Linked DNA regions of Canis lupus familiaris. The protein of the gene in region 1 interacts with the protein of each later gene in a pairwise test. Links are inferred from orthologs where the notes say so. Each region holds a gene or a part of one and is shown in the gene's direction. Other genes may lie near its edges. The genes, in order: ADARB1 and PRKRA.

Region 1 (3,812 bases):
CAACGGGGGCAGCGGTGGCGCCAGCCGGAAGCGGCCCCTGGAAGAGGGCAGCAACGGGCACGCCAAGTTCCGCCTGAAGAAGAGGAGGCGGCCGCCGGGCCCCGCGCTGCCGAAGAACGCCCTGATGCAGCTGAACGAGATCAAGCCCGGCCTGCAGTACGCGCTGCTGTCGCAGACGGGGCCGGTGCACGCGCCTCTGTTCGTCATGTCCGTGGAGGTGAACGGGCAGGTGTTCGAGGGCTCCGGGCCCACCAAGAAGAAGGCCAAGCTGCACGCCGCCGAGAAGGCGCTGCGCTCCTTCGTGCAGTTCCCCAACGCCTCCGAGGCCCACCTGGCCATGGGGAGGACCCTGTCCGCCAACACGGACTTCACGTCCGACCAGGCCGACTTCCCCGACACGCTCTTCAACGGCTTCGAGACCCCGGACAGGTCGGAGGTGCCCTTCTACCTGGGCTCCAACGGGGACGACTCGTTCAGCTCCAGCGGGGACCTCAGCCTGGCGGCGTCCCCGGCGCCCGCGGGCCTGGCGCAGCCCCCGCTCCCCGGGCCCCCGCCCTTCCCGCCCCCAAGCGGGAAGAACCCGGTGATGATCCTGAACGAGCTGCGGCCCGGGCTCAAGTACGACTTCCTGTCGGAGAGCGGGGAGAGCCACGCCAAGAGCTTCGTCATGTCCGTGGTGGTGGACGGCCAGTTCTTCGAGGGCTCGGGCAGGAACAAAAAGCTCGCCAAGGCCCGGGCCGCGCAGTCCGCCCTGGCGACCATTTTTAACCTGCACCTGGACCAGACGCCGTCCCGCCAGCCCATCCCCAGCGAGGGCCTGCAGTTGCACCTACCGCAGGTGAGGAACGCGCCGCTGCCGGCCACGCTGGCCGCGCCTCGACGGCGCTTCGGACAGGGCTTCGGCCTCCCGGGCGCCGTTGAGGGACGTCGGATCGTCACCGGTGAGTCGGCTCCGGGCGGGCGGGCGGGCGGGCGGCCCTGGGCCTGCAGCCCCACGCGGGCCCACGGAGCCCCGCCCACCAGAGCCCGCGGCCCCTTCCCGCACGCTCCTCCCCCGCGGGGCCCCTCGGAGCCGGCAGCCCGCGCCGCTCAGCCGTGCTTCCCGCAGTCTCACCAGGGACTCCCAGGCTGGCCCGCCGGCAGCCGACACCCTCGTGCGGGTCTGCGTGGGTGCCCCACGCTGCACAGCAGCACGGGGGACCGGCCGGGCCGAGGGTGCCCCACAACAGGTGCGGGCGTCCTGGAGGGGCGGTGGGGGGCGAGGGATCCCTTCGGCAGCATCCACGCTGCCCGGAACCTTCACCTGGAGTGTCCTAGGGGATCCACGTGGGTCCCCTGCTCCTCGGCCCGTCAGACCAGGGGGAAGACGGGGAGGATTTCGGGGTGGGCTCATCGCATTCGCGAATGGGGAAGACCGAAGGGGAAGTCGCGTGTAGCCGGCATCTCTGACGTTCCAGGGAACTCTGATATGTGTTGCTTCTCTTCTTGGAAATCCAGAGTTTTTTCTGGCCTAGTAAAAAAGTTAGTATTTTAGGGAGAAAATCTCACCCCCCTTCTCTGCCATTTTGTCAAAATATTATCCGTGTTGAAGATAAGTTACGTACTGGTCTGATCAGAAAAAAAAACGAAGGACCGGAAATCACCAGGTGGGACGGCTTGGATTTTTCTTAGAAGAATCCGGAATGTCGCAGCTTCTCCGTTGCCTCAGAGCACTGTTAGGGTGACCTCTCTGTGCCGTTGCCTGGGGTCACCAGTACTTCTAGGTTTTAGGAGACACTTTATTTTATTTTGCCAGAAGCAACCAAATACAGCGTCAGTATAAAGTACCATATTCAAAACATCCTACTGGTACTTCACAAACCCAATAATCACGTCCTGTGCGAACATCTTATGAACCTTTATTCAGGAGGGTATTAGCCCATTTATAATTTCATAAATCGGCAGCACCAGCTCCCTAGAGAGGTTTTATTTTCAGGTTTCCCGTCTGCTGCAGGATATTCCAGCTTGAGTTCCCCTAGTGTCTGAGGCCCCCTGACTTCCCTGAACATGAGCAGACGTGGACAGAGCAGTGTGGGGGGCGACTGGAATCCCGCCCGAGGCCTGGTGACCCCGTGGCGGGGAGGCGGGCGGGGAGGCAGGTGGGGGTCCATGTGGGCACTTCCCGGCTTGGGCCTGTCCTTCAGCGGGAGCAGAGACCAGAGCCGCGCCGGGGGCCACGCGGAGCCTCACCGGGGTGGGCGTCCGGGATCCCGCCTAGGAGGGGGTTGGCGGGCAGGGCCCATCCCAGCCCTGCCCCGTGCCACTCGCCCGGGTTCTGCAGGGCCTGGCGCTCATTTCTGCGCCTCTGCGGCAGCGGAGCTCCCCGAGCCCCAACCGTGGTGTCTCCGGAGCCCCCACGGGAGACACGACCACGTTCTCCCGGGAGCACCTACAGTGGCCCCCATAGGAGCAGCCCTTCCAGCTTGGTGTCTGGGCTCCGTGCCCTTGCACCAGAAGTTTCCAGTGTGCTTCTGGAGTGGCGAGCGTCCTCACCGTTGGCCCGGAGCAGCCCTGAGTCCCTGGCCTCAGGACCTTTTGCCCTCATCGTGTTCATAGCGACGTCTCAGGGTTTAACCCAGACGTTGTGGGCCGCGTGAGGTGTGCCGAGCCCTCAGTGTCTGGATCCCGTGGAGCGGCACCGCCAGCTTTGGGCCGGGGCCTCTCAGTCCTGGGGGCCGCCCGGGGTTGGGGGACATGGGCGTGACCCTCGTTGTGTCGTCCGCCCCCAGCATGTAGAGGGAGAGTCGCTTCCCTACCTGTAGGAAGGGGGTTGTGTCCTCTTCAAGGGGACGGAGGAGCCGCCTGGGTGCCGGAGATGCCTCCTCTGACCAGTGAGCGCCCGCGTAGGGGCCTGACCTCCCCTGAGCGTCTCTGAGCCCAGTGGTTTGGGATACGCCTCGCCTCTACGGAACGGAAGCGTTTCTCTTAACTTCTCGTAAGATCTTTTTCTTTTATGTGCATTGCAACACGTGGTCCTTCATCTTTGACGCCGTCCCCGCCGGGTCGCCCGCAGCCCGAGTGTGGCAGTGACACCGTGCAGGGGTGCGGGGAGGCCTGCCGCCCACGTCTTCCGTCCGTGCCGCTGCCTCTGGCTTGAGCGCGGCCTTCTGGGGGCTCCTTGGTACTGACCGGGGCGGCGGCAGGAGGAAGAAGTCCTGGCGACTTTCCTTTTTGTCAAAATAAGCTGTCGTTCGGGATGAGCGACGTTTCTGTCCATTTGGGAGTGTTTTGCTAAGGGGCAAGCTGGGGACCCTGGGTCTAGCTGTTTGATGCTCCCGCCCAGGGTGAGACTGGGGGGACGCAGCTCTTCACACACACCTCCCGTCAGGCATCATTTCCCAAACCCTTGTATCCGAGATAAGTTGTAGGCCGTGGGGACGAGAGCGTGCATGCAGCCGGCCTGGTGTGTGTGCTGCGCGCGGCGGGTCTGGCCACGGGCCCTCGGAGAGCACGGCCGTGGGTGCCGTCGGGTGCCCTGGGGCCTGAGTTTATGATAAGTGCCCTTGCGGGCTGCTCGGCGCCGGTTCCTGGGCAGTGGCCGAGCCAGGGCAGCGGGGCTGAGCCACGTGGATCTTCCTGCCGCCCCTTCCCTTCCCTGATGTCCGTCACACTCGAGGTCATGTTCCCGGCCCGGCCAGCCCTCGAGCTGATGGCGCCCCACCTGCGGGGAGGTCACTCCGGGGAGGGGCTGGGAGAGCCAGGTGCAGAGGCAGGTCCCCGGGGAAGCTGGTCTGCGCCTCAGCGTCCTCATCCGGGGGGAGGGCTGGGGTGTT
Region 2 (3,812 bases), on another chromosome or scaffold:
TTCTAAGCAACCAAAGAACCAGCTTAATCCTATTGGTTCATTACAGGTAAGTCACATGGTTTTTCCTTCTGTAACATTTTGTCTATTGAAGAAAGATGTCATAAAGTAATAATATCACAAGGGCTGAAACAAGGAATAGATAGTTTAAAGATAAGATGTATAATATTCTGTTTTCCCAGTTATGATCATTGGATATTACAGCACTAACTTGAAATTATTCTCCTGTTTATTTATGTTTTGGATTTTCTTCCATATACAGTATCTGCCTTTGGTTTGTGGAATTCTCATTTGAGATCAGCAGGACCCCAGTGCACATGGGTAGAGTGTTTTATACTTTAAGAATATTTCTTGCCACTCTTGTGACAAACTTCTTTCCACTTCTGTTAAGACAGAAGATTTTATTAAAAACCCAAATTGGCCCCCCTCAGTGCCGGCACTTGACGGGATGAGCACTGGGTGTTACTCTGTAAGTTGGCAAATTGAACACCAATAAAAAATAAATTTATTATAAAAAAATAAAAATACAAATAAATAAAAACCCAAATTGGGTAACCTACCTCAAAAAAAGGGGAAGTCATCTATTTGCTTATTCTACCAAAAAAAAAAAAAATCAGCTTTGAAGTTCTGCATGCAGAATATCTTTCTTGCAGATTATCTATGTGCTCTGTTGGACAACTCTCCTCCCTGTTACCCAGCCAGGCCTTTGGTCCCTTTCTTGCTGTCTTTTCTATAGTTTTCTTCCCCTGATCTTTCCTGATTGTCCAAGTCTGTATATTTGCTGCCTTTGCTCATCTGCTCGTGTTCTAGTGCAGTAGTTAGCCAGCTGAGGGCAGGAAGTCTGTAGCTAGGAGGGAGAGGCATTAGGAACTGATGACAGTGAGACCTGTCGATGTTCCCCAAAAGGGCGATAGTAGCTCGTCTTTCTCTTTGAGCTCTTTGATATTTGCTCGCTGTGGCTTAATGAAAGAACACCATTCCCATCCTAGCAGTAAACTGCTTCAGTTTCGGTATTGTGGGCTTGCAAGATACAAAATGCAGGAATATTTGTGGGAAATACAGGGTCTTCTCCCATTTTTCTATTGCAGAATATCATTATTCTTTTCAAACATAGAAATAGAAATAGGATAGAAATCATGAAAGACTATCATTTATGTGATGAAGCTGTTGCATAGTAAAAATTACTACTGAAGCCTCATCTCCATTTTCTAGGAGTTGGCTATTCATCATGGCTGGAGACTTCCTGAATATACCCTTTCCCAAGAGGGAGGACCTGCTCATAAGAGAGAATATACCACAATTTGCAGGCTAGAGTCATTTATGGAAACTGGTAGTTACTCTTTTTACTCATACAACTGAAGGCGTTTGAAATATTTTCAGATGATGAATGACCCTAGAAATTTCTGTTATGGTTTCCTTTCAAATATTTCTGTGGGGAAAAATTTGATGCACTCTTATTCTACTATCTCTTTCTGCAGTAGAATTTAAGTATAAATATTTGGCTTAAAAATATATTTGGCTTAAGAATACTTAGGCTTAATTTGATAGTTTTAAAAATCATGGAAAAGCTTGGTAACAACAAAGTAAATAATTGACTTTACATAGTCTGCATTGATGTGTTAGTGGCTTAAAAATTATTTTAGAAAAAAGCAATAGCAAATATCTTGGAAGTTTCAACAGCTGTTCTAGAAGATTGGAAGACTAGAAGATCACATTTGAAAACAAGATGATTAATAAGAGGCTAGATGGCAAAAAATAGTGTTAGATAAAAATAAAGTAGAAATTATCCTTTATAATGATAGCAACTTCCATGTTGTAAGGACTAGAAACTGAGAAAAAAGTCACTTAATAGAGTACTAGTGAGGGTTCCTATTGTAGCTTCTCTAGCGTGTTTCTAGCATTCTTAAAATGGCACCAAATGGAATTGGCTATCTGTTTCAGGTAATCAAGCAAGTAATCAGCAAGCCCCTTGAGAGGCAGTGCAGGTCAATATAGAAAGCACTGAACCCCAACTTCTATTTTTTTTAAGATTTTATTTATTTATTTGAGAGAGAAGAGTATGAATGGGGGGAGGGGCAGAAGGAGAGGGAGAAGCAGACCCCCCTCTGAGCAGGGAGCCTGATGCAGGGCTCCATCCCAGCATGCTGGGATCTTGACCTGAACTGAAGGCAGATGCTTAACCGACTGAGACACCCAGGCACCCCACCTAGCTTCCATTCTTGATGCAGCCCTTGGTTTGCAAAGGTAGGCAAATTACTTCATCTCTCTAGGCCTCAGTTTTTAAATCTGTAAAACAAAAAGCATGGAAGTAGATAATACTTTGTCTTTTAATTGCAGATCTCCTATGCCTTCTTACTCATGTTAAAGAAGAATTCCACATAGTTGTCAGTTTATAGAAGATTTTAAGCAAGAAATAGACATCAAGAAGGAAAGAGTTGTGATTGATTCAAAAGTACCTTAATAGATTTGAATACTTAGAATTAAACCAAATATGATTCATTATAGCTAGGCATAAGGAAATATGCCTGTTAAAAAACAAAAAGTATAACTATTAAAGATAAACTGTCAAAAGTGCCTTCATAAATGTAAGAATTAATAGAATTAATAGTTGTATTGGGGCACCTGAGTGGCACAATAGGTTAAGCACCTGACTCTTGGTGTCAGCTCAGTTCGTGGTTTCAGGGTTGTGAGCCCTACATTGGGCTCTGCACTCAGCCTAGAGTCTCCTTGGGACTCTCTCTCTCTCTGCCCTTCTCCCCCCACACTCATGTATGTATTCTGTCTAAAATACATAAATATTTTAAAAAATCATTGTTTGAAGCACAATAAGCAAAGATGAGCATATAAAGATCATGAAGTTATTCTCTGAGCAGAAATAATACCTTATATATCTGATTACTCTCTGTGGATACTAATTACTTTTCTAAACCTACCATTTCTTTTTCTTTTTTTTTTAATTTAGGAAAGGGGGCATCAAAAAAACAGGCCAAGAGGAACGCTGCTGAGAAATTTCTTGCCAAATTCAGTAATATTTCTCCAGAGAACCACATTTCTTTAGTGAGTAATGATCAAAACACCTATGATGTCAATATGATTAAGCATCTCATGCTGTAGGAAACGTCCCTGGATTCCTTGTTGTACAGACACTGTAGAGTTGCAATTTTTAAAATGTCCCTTCACTGTCCAGATGTACATGACCTAATTTTAGCTGTCACAAGGGTGACCAGGTAAGAGGGCTTGGGAGACACAGTCAAATTCAGAATCACATCATGTGATCTAAAGATGACAGGCCAGTAGTGCCATTTTTGCCTTCAAATTGACAATGCCTTCATTCATTTATCCACTCATTAAACATTTAGTGAGCTCATACTGTCTGCCAAACTTTGTGCCAGGTTCTGTGCACACTGAATAAGACAGTGTCTGCCATGAGGGAGTCTGTAGCCTCCTGAAAGAGAAAAGAACCCAATAGGCTGGTCCTAACAGAGAGGGCTTGGGAACATAGAAGAAGGTCCAACCAAGACTGGCAGTTTAAGGAAGACTTCTTGGAGGGGGCAATATCTAAGCCAAGACCTGCAGGATGAGAGCAGAGGACAAGAATTTCAAAGAAAAAAGAGCACCTACAAAGACCAGGAGTAAAATAGTATATGCCATCTGGGAACCCGAAATAGTTTGGTGTGGCTAGAGCATACGGTTGGAGAAGGGTTTCTCAAATAATGAGGCCAGAAGGACAAAGGGATTCAATCTGGAAAGGACTTCTGTAGTCAAGAGATTCAACTTTATCCTGAGGGTAGAGCAGAGTCCTTTGGTTGTTAATA

The links.
Region 2: the proteins of ADARB1 (region 1) and PRKRA interact in binary tests that used the Homo sapiens proteins (3 or more experiments, as listed by UniProt). The link is inferred for Canis lupus familiaris from reciprocal best matches to the Homo sapiens genes ADARB1 and PRKRA.

The regions. Positions count from the first base shown.
Region 1 is NC_049252.1:38,698,506-38,702,317, forward strand, and holds part of ADARB1 (double-stranded RNA-specific editase 1), read left to right. Parts: coding exon 1-838; intron 839-3,812. UniProt on the Homo sapiens protein: Catalyzes the hydrolytic deamination of adenosine to inosine in double-stranded RNA (dsRNA) referred to as A-to-I RNA editing.
Region 2 is NC_049257.1:22,402,305-22,406,116, reverse strand, and holds part of PRKRA (interferon-inducible double-stranded RNA-dependent protein kinase activator A), read left to right. Parts: coding exon 1-46; intron 47-1,209; coding exon 1,210-1,327; intron 1,328-2,959; coding exon 2,960-3,054; intron 3,055-3,812. UniProt on the Homo sapiens protein: Activates EIF2AK2/PKR in the absence of double-stranded RNA (dsRNA), leading to phosphorylation of EIF2S1/EFI2-alpha and inhibition of translation and induction of apoptosis.